Linked DNA regions of Stegostoma tigrinum. The protein of the gene in region 1 purifies or fractionates together with the protein of each later gene. This does not show direct contact. Links are inferred from orthologs where the notes say so. Each region holds a gene or a part of one and is shown in the gene's direction. Other genes may lie near its edges. The genes, in order: mettl9 and slc39a10.

Evidence for each region.
Region 2: the proteins of mettl9 (region 1) and slc39a10 purify together in Homo sapiens (co-immunoprecipitation; 3 studies listed by BioGRID and IntAct, with this or other methods). This does not show direct contact. The link is inferred for Stegostoma tigrinum from reciprocal best matches to the Homo sapiens genes METTL9 and SLC39A10.

What each region holds. Positions count from the first base shown.
Region 1 is NC_081376.1:34,319,874-34,327,710, forward strand, and holds the start of mettl9 (methyltransferase-like protein 9), read left to right. Parts: upstream 1-4,628; 5' UTR 4,629-5,009; coding exon 5,010-5,102; intron 5,103-6,536; coding exon 6,537-6,727; intron 6,728-7,837. UniProt on the Homo sapiens protein: Protein-histidine N-methyltransferase that specifically catalyzes 1-methylhistidine (pros-methylhistidine) methylation of target proteins.
Region 2 is NC_081360.1:33,021,005-33,029,045, reverse strand, and holds the start of slc39a10 (zinc transporter ZIP10), read left to right. Parts: upstream 1-5,017; 5' UTR 5,018-5,093; intron 5,094-5,141; exon of another isoform or gene 5,142-5,220; intron 5,221-8,041. UniProt on the Homo sapiens protein: Zinc-influx transporter. When associated with SLC39A6, the heterodimer formed by SLC39A10 and SLC39A6 mediates cellular zinc uptake to trigger cells to undergo epithelial-to-mesenchymal transition (EMT).

The sequences.
Region 1 (7,837 bases):
CTAGTTGGGACTGAGTACTTAGAGAAAAGTTTCATGTTCCTGGTATATGTTGTCCTAGTTCTTGATGGTAGGGGGGCAGCTGGCTCATTGGTCTATAGTATGATTCTTGCTTCAGGTTTTTCAGTGATTGGGTTTGTATTATCTGGACTATCAATCTTTAAATCCATTTCATACATTTGCAAAGATGTTTTTCCTTTTTTTATATATATTAAAAAAATAAGCATTTGGTTAAGGGCATAAACTCATCAGTAACTAATGACTTCTTTGCTTCTCAGTTTCCTGTTGAGGAGTTCAAAATGCTAACAGTTTTAAAGTCAGTGATTTTTTTTTTTGTTTTTTGTTTTTCTCATCCCAGATCAGTTTAGATGAAAAGTCAGCTGGACTTGGATTTTTGAATGGAAGTAACAGATCAGCTTTCAAGGCTGATGAAGTAGTCAGACTAATATTCAGAACTTTCTCAGGCTATCAGAGATACTTTCTGATAGTCCTGCTTTTTTAAGGTTTCTTATTTTTCAGGAGTGAGTCTTGTTTATTGCAAGTTTTGGAGGTCTTTTCTACTCCACAACTAAGTATCCACTGGAAAATATGCCAACTTCAGAAGAATGTCGTTAGGCCCTATCTCTACCAAACCAAGTTTTCCAGCGAATAAAGCAATAAAGCTGATCCCATCTCAAACAAAGAATGAAGGGTCTAGGCCCGAAATGTCAGCTTCTGTGCTCCTAAGATGCTGCTTGGCCTGCTGTGTTCATCCAGCTCTACGTTTTGTTATAATAAAGAATTGTTTGTCGTCTTGCCAAAGTTACTTGACTTTCGTCCAGTCCCTGTACACCTGCATTCCGCATGGAGATGGCCTCAAGGCCCTCCGCTTCTTCCTGTCCCGCAGGCCCGACCAGTCCCCCTCCACCGACACTCTCATCCGCCTAGCTGAACTCGTCCTCACACTCAACAACTTCTCTTTTGACTCCTCCCACTTCCTACAGACTAAGGGGGTGGCCATGGGCACCCGCATGGGCCCCAGCTATGCCTGCCTCTTTGTAGGTTACGTGGAACAATCCCTCTTCCGCACCTACACAGGCCCCAAACCCCACCTCTTCCTCCGGTACATTGATGACTGTATCGGCGCCGCCTCTTGCTCCCCAGAGGAGCTCGAACAGTTCATCCACTTCACCAACACCTTCCACCCCAACCTTCAGTTCACCTGGGCCATCTCCAGCACATCCCTCACCTTCCTGGACCTCTCAGTCTCCATCTCAGGCAACCAGCTTGTAACTGATGTCCATTTCAAGCCCACCGACTCCCACAGCTACCTAGAATACACCTCCTCCCACCCACCCTCCTGCAAAAATTCCATCCCCTATTCCCAATTCCTCCGCCTCCGCCGCATCTGCTCCCACGATAAGACATTCCACTCCCGCACATCCCAGATGTCCAAGTTCTTTAAGGACCGCAACTTTCCCCCCACGGTGATCGAGAACGCCCTTGACCGCATTTCCCGCGACACATCCCTCACACCCCGCCCCCGCCACAACCGCCCCAAGAGGATCCCCCTCGTTCTCACACACCACCCTACCAACCTCCGGATACAATGTATTATCCTCCGACACTTCCGCCATTTACAATCCGACCCCACCACCCAAGACATTTTTCCATCCCCTCCCCTGTCTGCTTTCCGGAGAGACCACTCACTCCGTGACTCCCTTGTTCGCTCCACACTGCCCTCAAACCCCACCACACCCGGCACCTTCCCCTGCAACCGCAGGAAATGCTACACTTGTCCCCACACCTCCTCCCTCACCCCCATCCCAGGCCCCAAGATGACATTCCACATCAAGCAGAGGTTCACCTGCACATCTGCCAATGTGGTATACTGCATCCACTGTACCTGGTGCGGCTTCCTCTACATTGGGGAAACCAAGCGGAGGCTTGGGGACCGCTTTGCAGAACACCTCCGCTCAGTTCGCAACAAACAACTGCACCTCCCAGTCGCAAACCATTTCCACTCCCCCTCCCATTCTCTTGATGACATGTCCATCACGGGCCTCCTGCACTGCCACAATGATGCCACCCGAAGGTTGCAGGAACAGCAACTCATATTCCGCCTGGGAACCCTGCAGCCATATGGTATCAATGTGGACTTCACCAGTTTCAAAATCTCCCCTTCCCCAACTGCATCCCTAAACCAGCCCAGTTCATCCCCTCCCCCCACTGCACCACACAACCAGCCCAGCTCTTCCCCCCCCACCCACTACATCCCAAAACCAGTCCCACCTGTCTCTGCCTCCCTAACCGGTTCTTCCTCTCACCCATCCCTTCCTCCCACCCCAAGCCGCACCCCCCGCTACCTACTAACCTCATCCCACCTCCTTGACCTGTCCGTCTCCCCTGGACTGACCTATCCCCTCCCTACCTCCCCACCTACACTCTCTCCACCTATCTTCTTTACTCTCCATCTTCGGTCCGCCTCCCCCTCTCTCCCTATTTATTCCAGTTCCCTCCCCCCATCCCCCTCTCTGATGAAGGGTCTAGGCCCGAAACGTCAGCTTTTGTGCTCCTGAGATGCTGCTCGGCCTGCTGTGTTCATCCAGCCTCGCATTTTATTTACTTGACTTTCAGTTTATTTTGGGTAAATTACAGTCCACGTTATTGTCGAACAGTTACAGGAAATCCTTTTTTAATAACAATGTCCAAATAGTTCTGTATTCCAGTTTTAAATAAAAATCTGTATTCTTAACATGCCTTCACAATTATTAATTGAAACAAAATGAAATGGTGTTTATAATGTAAATGTGAAAACATGCACCACAAAGGCATTTTTAAAAGTTGGACTTGCACTAATTTATCTTCACATATATACATTTATATGGTTTCTGGTTTCATTCTTAATCTCTGAATAATGGCAATGTGCATCAATGATCTTGGCTAACATTTTTTGAACAGTAGAAAGTTGTTTCTGTAGCGTGCGTAGGAGTTGTATGATGCAACCCTGCATTGTTCTGACATAACAGAATCAGGCAATTGTCAGTGGAAATAAAGATCCCTTACGGCTGATACTCTTTGAAAGTATCCATTTAAATCATAATTTGAAGAGATTTCCTCTGGTTAATAGTTACCCAGGAAAAGTCAGACAATTAAATAAAACCTGGCTTAACATATAGGTAACATTTAAACGAGCCCCTGACTTATTGCACCAAATAGGGATAAACAGAGAGGGGTCAAACACACTGAGTGAAAGAGAGGGGTTGAAACACAATGCGAGAAACAGAGGGGCGCGGAACACAGCGCGGCTGGAGCAGGGGGTCCGTAACGGCGCGCGAGAAACAGTGTGAGGAAACAGAGGGGCTGATACGTGTGAGAAACATGCATCACCCAAGCCCCTTATACCCCCAAAGATTGAGTTGACATCCAGTTCCAATGTGCCACTGACCCTGACACCCGGTAGGATCTGTCAACACTCCCTCTTCTCAGTGACATGACTTCCCCGTCGTACTTCTGGAATTAGCACCTCTTTGCTGTGGTAGTCAACGTCTCCCTCCCTTTGTCAGACCCAACAGTCCTGCCCACCATCGCTTACCTTGCATTCTAACCTCACACTTTGCGGATATTTTCTAATCTACTCGTTCAGTTGCCATTAGATACTTTGGAGCAGGTGGGATTTGAATCCAGGTCTCCTGATTCAGAGGTGAGTGAACCACCACTGCACAAATAAACTCCCTTTCAGACTATTTTCCAGGAAACATCAAATTGGCTGTCTTAATGCGAGACATTTAAATCACAGAATATAGCAACTACTGCTGTGAAAAAGGGTTTGGGTTGACATTTCCCAATTATTCTGCACTACCTGTTGGATTTAAGATACAAGATAATAAAATGTGAGGCTGGATGAACACAGCAGGCCGAGCAGCATCTCAGGAGCACAAAAGCTGACGTTTCGGGCCTAGACCCTTCATCAGAGAGGGGGATGGGCCTGCTGTGTTCATCCAGCCTCACATTTTATTATCTTGGATTCTCCAGCATCTGCAGTTCCCATTATCACGGATTTAAGATACACCTCATTTCTGAAGGAGCCATAATTGGAATCTACTGCCAGAAATGCGAACTTCTTACTTAATGGGGAAAAACTCTTGGTTGAGATTAACACTCTGAAAAGTCGGGTCTAATTCAGAAATATGTTTTTGAGACTCAGTCAACCAACTCCACTGATGCAGTATAGTATTTGATGTTTAGATTACCGTACAAAAGGTAAGGGACGAAAGTCAGTTTATATTTTGATTCTTTGTGATCCTCGTAGGCACAAACTTCAAAATGTTTAGAGAGACAATACCGATCTCGTAGTTTTTCTTTGGTTTTCCACACTCCATTGTGGTGACCAAAACCCACCAAAATGAAACGTTAAAAATGATCACCATTGCCATTATCCCTAATCCGTGTTAACGCGTTCAAATCCGAGTCTCCAGCTTGAGTCCTGGACCCGGGAACTTTCTCACTTTCAAACGGCACGCCTCTTTGGAAACCCAGAGTAGCCAATCAGGAGCGCCTTCGTCGACTGGCCAATCATGGCATTGAGCTGCAAACCAATCAGAGACGCAAGAAAGCTGTCCAATGCTGAACTGCTCAAGTGTCAGCCAGGAGCGGAAATCTCCCGGGATACAGGAAGTCAGCGGGAATGGGGGACTCTGAGGCTGATTACAGAAACGCACCTTGAGTTTGGGATGTGGTGGGGTCCGTGCTGGTGAAGGGGGGGGGGGGTGGGAGGATGGGAGGATCCTGGACGCATCTGCTGCTTTTTCACCTTCTCTGCAAAATGTTTGCCCCCTGTTGACCCCCGAGAAGGGGGTAAGGGAAGGGTCTCCTGTGGGGAGGGGGTCCCCTGGAGTCCCCGGGATCAGACGGGGTAGCGTTGAGTGGGGTGAGGGGTGTCACACCCCCTCCCGCCCGGAATTCCCAGGACGGCTGTGAAGCGAGTGCTGCTCCTGCTCTGTTACTTTGTTGCACTCCTGCAGCTGAGGAAAATGTGGAGCAGTAAATACCTGCGGAGCCCCTTGTCCCGCTCGTTGTTCAGCAACGTGAGGCATCAGGGCGACGAAGAACACGACAAGTCCCAGGTACATCAGTCTGTTTCTTTGGTTGGAAATAGAAAGTTGTTTTAACCGAGAAAAAGCTTTTGGTGCTGCTGTGAGATTCTAAAGGACGTGCATTTCTGCCGGAATCAAGTTACTGTGTAGAAACCTTGTTGTAATTCATTTCCTGATGCTTATTTTATCCTGCTCCAGTTGTCATAGAGATAGTGATGATAATTGTCTACCTTGATTGAAGCAGACTGGATGGGCTGAATGTCTTACTTCTCCTCCTATATCTTATGGTCACCTGTGACGGATGCCTGTGGTTTGCCGTTCCACTCCAGAAACTTGAGCACAAAATCTTGGTGGATGATCCAGTGCTGTTCTGAGGGAGGGTGAGGATGCCAACAGAGGGTGAACCCTGAGGCATTGGGTGAGGGGTGGGTTGGGCTGGTGGCAGAGTGGATGCACTGAAAGAGGCAGCATGCTGGCAGAGGGCAGGCTGTAAGGTAGGAGGGTAGCTAACAACGGTGTGATCCTGAGAGAAAACTTAAGAATACAGTTCTGAGAAACTGCTGTGTTGTTGGAAAATTGGTACTAGGATCAGGGCTGAGGGTATGCTACACTTTTGAAGTTGTTATTACCTCTTCGATGAGATATTTAGACTGAGGTTCTGGTTACTTTCCCGAGTGGACTTACAACTAATTATACCCTAGTTTGGTGTAAAAATAGCTGCCTATAATTCTTGCTAATGTAATAACTATCATAACACTTCAAACACAAAAATAAATTGCTGGAGAACCTCAGCAAGTCTGGCAGCAACTGGGGACAGAAAGCAGACTTAATATTTCTAGCCCAGTGACATTCTTCAAGACTTTGAGGAAGTTCAGAGGAAAAGTCACTGTACTCAAAACATTGACCCATAGGACCCTAGACCTGTATTCCAGAGTTTTGTGAATTGAATTTGAATTCCACCAGCTGCTGTAGAAGGATGTGAACTTATACCCCAGAGCCTTAGCCTGGGCTTCTGGATAGCCAAACCAGTGACCTTACTTTGCCACTTTCTCCTCCACCCCAGCTATACAGTGATGGAGCACTTAAAATCCAGGAGGTGCATCAAAAGCCCAAAATTGGAACTCAGAGGGTTTGGGGTCTGGAGCAGATTAGAGTTAGGGAGTGTGAGATGAGGCAACGGAGGGATTTATAAACAAGACCAATAGTTTTAAAATTGAAGCATTATTTAGTTATGAGTGAATGTACAAGGATGCTGATGATTTGGTGCAAGTGAGGATATGGCCAGCAGAATATTGAAAGAGCTCATGTTTACCAATGGTGTGAGATGGAAAGCCAGCTAGGCGTAGGATAATCAAATTGGGAGGTAACAAAGGAAGAAGAGATTTAGTAACAATTGTTTGGAGCATGTATAATTACCAGTAATTTCTATCGAAGGTGCTGACACCGTTGTCATTCTTTTTGCAGTGGTATGCCTGTGACATGGAATTGCTGCCAATATGTCTGCAGCCATCATTTGTTCAGAGTCATCTAGATGTGGGGACACATGCGTTTCTCAGGCAATGTTCAGAGAAATCCAGCTGGCTTTTTGTTCAGATTTATTACTCCCTCGTCACTTCTGTGTTTGGTCTGTTCATGTCCAAGACCTCCATCAATGGGTAAAATGATTAATTTTTTAAAAAAATTGTATTTCCAATTTTGTGGGGTCACAAGGCTGTCTTATATTGGTGGTAACTCTCATCCCAGGGTGAAGTGTCTGCTAAGTCCCCACCACCAAGGATCATGCGTATTGTTAAAAGACAGATTAAAAACAGGATGCTGGTTTTAGCTCAAAAAATCACTGAAAATTGACCTGCCATGAACAAAGATGATTGGCACTCTCTCTTGATGCATTTTGAAGGTGGCCAGAGGAGTTCTGACCTGGAGTCCTAGTCATTATTTACATTCCCAACTGTAATGACTCCAGTTGATGTTGTTATTGGACAAGCCAGATCCCAGACTGAAATTTGGGTTGCTAGGTCATGTTAATAAGTGTCTTTCACTGAAACCCAAAATCTAATGATGCAGATTCCAGTTTAACATTAGAACAAGAGTTTATTATACAAAAGAAATGAAGATAAAATAGAATAAATCAAGCTATTGAAATACAACTCAAATTTAAAGATTTTGAATGACATGATAAAATACAATCCCGTTCAACTCAAAAACCACTCCTTTACATAAGAGAGAGTTTTCTTCCCTTTAACACTTATAGTTTTTAATTTTACTGAGGTTTCGGGTTTGAGAATTTGATAGCAACTTCCTGGAGCTTTCATATAATTTATCTTTGGGCTAATTGATGCTCAAAGTCATTCAGAGTTTAAATCAAACACTTCTCATCTGGAACCTTTTAAGCTAAAATTAAACTGAGGCAACCCCTTTCTTAACAGATGTAAAACTACCTGCCTTTCTCAGGAACAACTGAATGACACTTCCAACTTCAGGCAAGTCTTTTGCAAACTGCCCCAAACTGAAACTTAAAAAAAAATTTTACCAAGCTGTGCATACTTCACCTATGGACAAAAAAAAACTAGAATCTTCTATATGAAATTCTAATGTTCGCTTCATTTGCTTGTATGCTTCCCCACTATAAAGAAAACACATTATTCTCCAAAAAGTGTGTCTCTAATATTTGTGATTTAAAAGTAATCACTATGCCTACAGAAATACAAGTTAATAATTTAAGCCCCGTAAGACATGCAGAAAATTATTACCCGTAGTTCTCAATT
Region 2 (8,041 bases), on another chromosome or scaffold:
GTGTGTGAGAGAGAGATCAGACTCTGTGTGTGTGCGTGTAAAAGGGAGGGAGGTGTGTCTTTGTTAGTCAGGACAGTATAACGGTGGCTGAAAGAACTTTTGATGAGGACTCGTCTACTGAGGTGGTCTGGGCTAAGGTCAGAAACAGGAGAGGGGAGGTCACACTCCTGTAAGTTTTTTAAAGGCCTCCGCAAAGTTCCAGGGATGTGGAGGAGAGGATTGGCAAAATGATTCTGGGCAGGACTGAAAGGAACAGGGTGGTCATTATGGGAGACTTTTAACTTCCACAACATTGACTGGAAATGCTATAACTCTAGTACGTCGGATGGATCAGTTTTTGTCCAATGTGTGCTGGACGGTTTCCTGACACAGTATGTCGACGGGCCGACAAGACGGGAGGCCACCCTGGATCTGGTACTTGGTAATGAAGCAGGCCAGGTATTTGATTTAGTGGTAGGTGAGCACTTTGGAGAGAGTGACCATAAATCGGTTACGTTTAGTTTAGCGATGGAAATGGATAGGAACATGCCACAGGGCAAGAGTTATAGATGGGGGAAGGGCAATTATAATGCAATTAGGCAAAATTTAGGAGGCATAGAATGGGGGAGCAAAACGCAGGGGATGGTGACAATCGAAATGTGGAGCTGGTTTAAGGAACAGATATTACGTGTCCTTGATAGGAATGTCCCTGTCAGGCAGGGAGGAAGTGATAAGTTAAGGGAGCCGTGGTTTACTGAAGAAATTGTATCACTTGTTAAGCGGAAGAGGGAGGCTTATGAGATGTTGAGACGAGATGGTTCAGATGAGGCGATGAAGAGTAGCTAGGAAGGATTTAAAGAGAAAGTTAAGAAGAGCAAGGAGGGAACATTAGCAGTCATTAGCAGGTAGAATAAAGGAGAACCCTAAAGCTTTCTATAGGTATGTGAGCAATAAAAGGATGACTAGGGTAGGAATAGGGCCAGTCAAAGACAGAAGTGGGAAGTTGTGTGTGGACCTGGTGGAGATCGGAGAGGTGCTAAACGAACATTTCTCATCTGTTTTCACTCAAGAAAACGAGAGTATTGTAGAGGAGAAGACTGAGATATGGGCTATTAGACTTGAAAGGATTGAGGTTAGTAAGGAGGAGGTGTTATGAATTCTAGAAGTTGTAAAGGTTGATAATCCCCTGGGTCGGATGGGATTTTTCTGAGGATACTCTGGGATGCTAGGGAGGAGATGGAGGAGCCTTTAGCCTTGATCTTTGAGTCGTCATTGTCTACAGGTTTAGTACCAGAGGACTGGAGGATTGCAAATGTTGTGCCCTTGTTCAAGAAGGGCAGTAGAGATGGCCCAGTTGTAATTATAGACCAGTGAGCCTTACGTCTGTTGTAGGAAGTTTTGGAAAGGATTCTAAGAGATAGGATTTATAATCATCTAGCAAGCAACAAATTGATTGGAGATAGTCAACATGGATTTGTCAAGGGCAGGTCATGTCTCACAAACCTCATTGAGTTTTTTGAGAAGGTGACCAAGCATGAGGATGAGGGAAGGGCAGTTGACGTAGTGTACATGGGCTTCAGTAAAGCCTTTGATAAGGTTCCACATGGTAAGCTATTGGAAAAAATGCGGAGGCATGGGATTGAGGGAGGTTTAGCAGTTTGGATTAGAAACTGGCTTTCTCTAAGAAGGCAATGAGTGGTGGTTGATGGAAAATATTCAGCCTGGAGTCTGGTTACTAGTGGTGTGCCTCAAGGATCTGTTTTGGGACCACTGCTGTCTGTCATTTTTATAAATGACTTGGACGCAGGCCTGGGTGGGCGGGTTAGTAAGTTTGCAAATGACACTAAAGTCGGTGGAGTGGTGGACAGTGTGGAATAATGTTGCACGTTGCAGGGAGACTTGGATAAGCTGCAGAATTGGGCTGAAAGGTGGCAAATGGAGTTTAATACAGATAAATATGAGGTGATTCACTTTGGGAAGAATAATAGGAAGGCAGAATACTGGGTCAATGGAAAGAGTCTTGGTACTGTGGATGTGCAGAGGGATCTTGGTGTCCATTTACATAGGTCCCTGAAAGTTGCCACCCAGGTTGATAGTGCTGTTAAGAAGACATACAGTGTGTTAGGTTTTATTGGTTGAAGGATTGAGTTCTGGAGCCGTGATGTCATGCTTCAACTATATAAATCGCCAGTGCGGCCTCACTTGGAATATTGCGTGCAGTTCTGATTACCCCACTACAGGAAGAATATGGAAGCATTGGAAAAGGTGCAGAGGAGATTTACCAGGATGTTAGATAATAAAATGTGAGGCTGGATGAACACAGCAGGCCAAGCAGCATCTCAGGAGCACAAAAGCTGACGCTTCGGGCCTAGTCTAGGCCCGAAACGTCAGCTTTTGTGCTCCTGAGATGCTGCTTGGCCTGCTGTGTTCATCCAGCCTCACATTTTATTATCTTGGAATTCTCCAGCATCTGCAGTTCCCATTATCTCTGATACTATTTTACCAGGATGTTGCCTGGTCTGGAGCGAAGGTCTTATGAGGAAAGGCTGAGGGACTTGGGTCTGTTCTCATTGGAGAGAAGGCGGCTAAGAGGGGATTTAATAGAGACATACAAGATGATCAGAGGATTAGATAGGGTGGACAGTGAGAGTGTTTTTCCTAGGATGATGACGTTGGCTTGTACGATGGGGCATAGCTGCAAATTGAGGGGTGATAGATTTAAGGCAGATGTCAGAGGCAGGTTCTTTACTCAGGAGTGGTAAGGGCGTGGAATGCCCTGCCTGCCAATGTGGTTAACTCAGCCACATTAGGGGCATTTAAACAGTCCTTGGATAAGCATATGGATGATGATGGGATAGTGTACGGAGATGGGCGTGGATTAGTTCACAGGTCAGTGCAACAACAAGGGTTGAAGGGCCTGTTCTGCGCTGTAATGTTCTATGTGATCAGACTGTGTGTGTGTGTGTGTGAGATCAGACTGTGCATGTGTGTGTGTTTGATCAGGCTGTGTGTGCGTGCGTGTGCTTGTGTGTGATCAGACTGGGTGTGTGTGTGTATGCGTGCATGAGATCAGACTGGGTGTGCACACACATGTGTGTGATCAGACTGGTTGCCTGTGTGTGATCAGACTGGTGTGTGTGTCTGCGTGTGATCAGGCTGGTTGTGTGTGTGTGTGTCTGTCTGTGTGTGATCAGGCTGGTTGTGTGTGTGCATGTGAGTAATCAGGCTGGTTGTGCGTGTGAGTGATCAGGCTGGTTGTGTGTGCGTGAGTGATCAGGCCGGTTGTGTGTGTTTGTGAGTGATCAGGCTGGTTGTGTGTGTGTGTGTGTGTGTGTGAGTGATCAGGCTGGTTGTGTGTGTGTGTGTGTGTGTGTGTGTGTGTGTGTGAAAGATCAGGCTGGTTGTGTGTGTGTGTGTGTGTGTGTGTGTGAGTGATCAGGCTGGTTGTGGTGCGTGTGAGTGATCAGGCTGGTTGTGTGTGTGAGTGATCAGGCTGGTTGTGTGTGTGTGTGTGTGTGTGTGTGTGCGTGTGAGTGATCAGCCTGGTTGTGTGTGTGTGTGTGTGTGTGTGTGTGCGTGTGAGTGTGATCAGGCAGGCTGTGTGTGCGTGTGAGTGATCAGGCTGGTTGTGTGTGTGTGTGTGTGTGTGTGTGAGTGTGATCAGGCTGGTTGTGGTGCGTGTGAGTGATCAGGCTGGTTGTGTGTGTGAGTGATCAGGCTGGTTGTGTGTGTGTGTGTGTGTGTGTGTGTGCGTGTGAGTGATCAGCCTGGTTGTGTGTGTGTGTGTGTGTGTGTGTGTGCGTGTGAGTGTGATCAGGCAGGCTGTGTGTGCGTGTGAGTGATCAGGCTGGTTGTGTGTGTGTGTGTGTGAGTGCGTGTGAGTGATCAGACTGGTTGTGTGTGCGTGTGAGTGATCAGGCTGGTTGTGTGCGTGTGAGTGATCAGGCTGGTTGTGTGTGCGTGAGTGATCAGGCCGGTTGTGTGTGTTTGTGAGTGATCAGGCTGGTTGTGTGTGTGTGTGTGTGTGTGTGAGTGATCAGGCTGGTTGTGTGTGTGTGTGTGTGTGTGTGTGTGTGTGTGTGAAAGATCAGGCTGGTTGTGTGTGTGTGTGTGTGTGTGTGTGTGTGAGTGATCAGGCTGGTTGTGTGTGTGTGTGTGTGTGAAAGATCAGGCTGGTTGTGTGTGTGTGTGTGTGTGTGAAAGATCAGGCTGGTTGTGTGTGTGTGTGTGTGTGTGTGAAAGATCAGGCTGGTTGTGTGTGTGTGTGTGTGTGTGAGTGATCAGGCTGGTTGTGTGCGTGTGAGTGATCAGCCTGGTTGTGTGTGTGTGTGCATGTGAGTGTGATCAGGCTGGCTGTGTGTGCGTGTGAGTGACCAGGCTGGTTGTGTGTGTGTGTGTGTGAGTGATCAGCCTGGTTGTGTGTGTGTGTGTGTGTGTGTGCGCGCGAGTGAGTGATCAGACTCGTTTTCATAAAATCCCTACAGTGTAGAAATAGGCCTTTCAGCCCAACATATCCACACCAGCCCTCGAAGCATCCCACCATGACCCATTCCCCTATAACCTGCCTAATTTACGTATCCCTGAACACTGCGGGTAATTTAGCATGGCCAATCCACCTAGCCTGCACATCTTTGGATTATGGCAGGAAACCTATGTAGTCAATAGTCACCCAAGGGTGGAATCGAATTTTGTGTGTGAGAGAGAGATCAGACTGGTCCTGTGTGTAAAGGGTCTAGGCCCGAAACATCAGCTTTTGTGCTCCTGAGATGCTGCTTGGCCTGCTGTGTTCATCCAGCCTCACATTTTATTATCTTGGAATTCTCCAGCATCTGCAGTTCCCATTATCTCTGGTCCTGTGTGTAGAAGGTTAGACTGGTTGTGTGTGTGTGTGTTAAGATCAGACTGTGTGTTTGTGCATGCACGTGTGTGTAAGATCAGGCTGACTGCATGTTGTGTGTTTATGCATGTACGTGTGTGTAGTCTGTTTGTGTATGTGTCTGTGCGTCTGATCAGACTGGTATGCTGTGTGTGTGTCTGTTTGATCACACTGACTGTGTGAGTGTGCGCTCAGGCCGATAAACGGTCAAGCCGGCCGTTGGAGTTTTGAAAGGGAGGTTAGTTGGCGCGAGCGTCGTGTAGCGCGCGCGCGCACCGTGGTCCAGCCCCGCGCGGCCCCGGCCCGCCCTCCGCGCTCCCTGTGTTGGTACCGAGCGGAGAGGATGCACACGGCACTCGAGTGAGGTATTTAAACACCCATTTGTTTCCCTTCTCACCGCCCCAGTCGCCGAGCGTTTACACGCGAGTGTGCAGCTCTGGGCGCTGAGCTGCGCCAGGCGAATGTATTCCGTTTGGTTGAAATCCCGCGTGTTGAACGCGTGCAGAAAGGGATCGTTGGGGAGAGGAAAGCAAATGGGGTGGGTGGCAGGGGGAGACAGAGAGAAAAAGACGGGTCTCGCTGCGCTCGAGCTTGGGTCGGCGTCACGTGTTGCCATTTTTTCTCTCTCTCTCTCTCCGATGTTGGGTGTTTTAAGAGTAAAACGTGCTTCAGAATAACAATGGCGGGGCGACCGCCTGATTCGAGGCCTAATGACGAGATGTTTGATTTAGGCGTTGTAAAGAGTACACGTCTTTTTATTTTTGTTTGTATGTGGTGGAGAGTAGAGGGATGCCGACGGCGGCGCCGGTTGGGGTTTTATTTAATCTGCCGGCGGCCGTTGTAATGTTGTACTTGCGGAGCGGCGGGAGCCCGGCGCCAAACACCGCGTCTTCGATTTTGTTGCTGCGGCACTGCAGTGTGCTTAGCACTGAGCAGCCGCTGGCTGCCCTGTTCGCCGTTTACCGCCGGCTACGGCCCTCGTGGTGCTTTTCTCTTAAAAATCTCGTCGATGCTTTTCTCTCCTCCCCGCCCCCCACCTCTTATGGATCTTTATAAAAAGAGTATTAGTTTCGGCACCCGGTTTTTGGACGCTTTTTCTTTCGGACGCATGACTTCCCGCCGACCCGATTTTCTTAACTTTCTTTTAACCGGTTTACCTCCAGCGTTAAAATAATAAACCCAAGTAGCGAGCTCGAGGTTCGCTGCGGCTGAAACGCTGACCGTTATGTGGAGATTGGCACGTAAATACGTTGTAGTTTTTTTTTAAAAAAGCCATTGTTAGCATTTTCTAATGCGGAGCAGTCAGTCACTTGCAGATGTTTTAGTTGATTTTGTTTTTCCTAGTTAATACGTTTTCTATTTTCTTTGAGAGCTGCGAATGAAATGACAACTTCTATCAGTCCAGTAATGATCATTCCAATGTAATAAAATTGTAATACCATAACACTTTTTTAAATCGTCAGATGTTTTGTGTGATAATGACGAAATTAAATCGACCAGTGTTTATCAACTCTAGCTTGAATTTCAGTTTGTTTTCGAGGTGGTGTGTGTATATTTTTCAATCTTGTGCTTTGGTTTAAGTGCCTTTTGGTCAGTGCAGATTGCAATTCATGCGGAGTATCGTACACTGGTGATTTTCTAGTGTTTTTATTTTAAAATAATGTTGATGTACAAGCAATTCTCTAAACATTTGAAAATGGAAAATCTACCCGTGAATCCTCATCGGAAGCAATTAATTTTTCAGTAGATCATAAGCACGTACCCCAAACGCAATGTGGAAAACTGGTTTCAAAAATTAATGCCCAACGTTTTGATGCTTTTGTCTTGCACAGAGCTTACTTTTTTTTTGGGGGGGGTGCTGAGGAGATTGGCAAATCAATGGGACTCAAAGGGGAATAACGGACAAACTGGAAATAAAACTGTCTTTTAAAAAAGACATACCGTCAGTTGTTCCAGCAGTAACAGTGATAATTGTGCCATTAAATTAGTACTGACAGAATCCTAATCATTTAGTAGTCAGTCGTAGTGACCACTTGCCCACCTGAAATACGAGAGCGTTTTGTACAAGTGCGTATAATTTGGAAGTGTGGTATTAACTTGATGGATTTTTACAATGAATATATAAACCTTTTAAATAGAAAATTTCAACTTGGTGGCATGGCAACCAAACTATTCTGTTGCCTACTCAGTATAAGGTCCAATCAGTAATATAGCTGTGTCCCATGACTTGGTTGTCAGCATTTTTGAGTCGGCAACACAAACGATTATTTCAGCCGAACTGGTTTAGTCCAGTGTTTGTGTCACAAACTTCGGCTTCGTTCAACCCTATCAGAATCCTTTAGTGTTTTTTCCCCTCCAACTTTAACGGAAGTGATAAGTATGTTTGTATTTTACCAGCATTTGGTAAATACTACACGCTTTTGGGCAAAGAGCACTCTTTCAAATTACTTTTTTGGGATTTATTACAGCCTGTTATTGACCTGATCCCTAGGTTTGAGCACAGCATAGGTAGTAACATCTTTTTGTCCATTTGCAGTAAAGAATCAATACGCAAGATGATAAATTCCTCACTAAAGGCTGACTTTTAAGTATGATTTCAATTATTTTGCATTTGAGATTTCATAGCAAGGTTTATTACAATTTGTCAATTCTTATAGGCTGTTTACTAGTTTTGGAAGGTTTCCAAAATTAGTTCCAGAAAATACAAATTAATTCCCAACTTGTATATTGTGTGTATGTAATCTTCCTTTTGGTATTTTCACATCTAGATCAAAATTTTTGTCTTACCGTAAGACTATTTGGGATGATGAGGTGGAACTTTGCATCTGGCCCCTCTGGCCACACCTTTTATGGAAAAGCGTTTTTTATTTTGGAGCCAAGTAAAATGGGTTTAATTTATCCTAGTGTCATATTGGGGGAACAGAGCCATATCTGTAATTGAATTTTATCATAACTAATGTGTGTGGTGTATGAATCAACCTGCTGTTGATACCATTGCAAAATAAACTGCCCTCTCTGCCCTTCCATCGCTGAAATGGTTTTCTAAGAATTTAAGATTGCCATAACACTAGCTTCCAAATTTGCATCCATTAGACTAATTAAGTGCAGCACTGAAATGCTGAATTGAGGATGTGGATTTATAATTGAAGTATTTTTTTGAGTACCGGTCATTCTGTAATTATACCC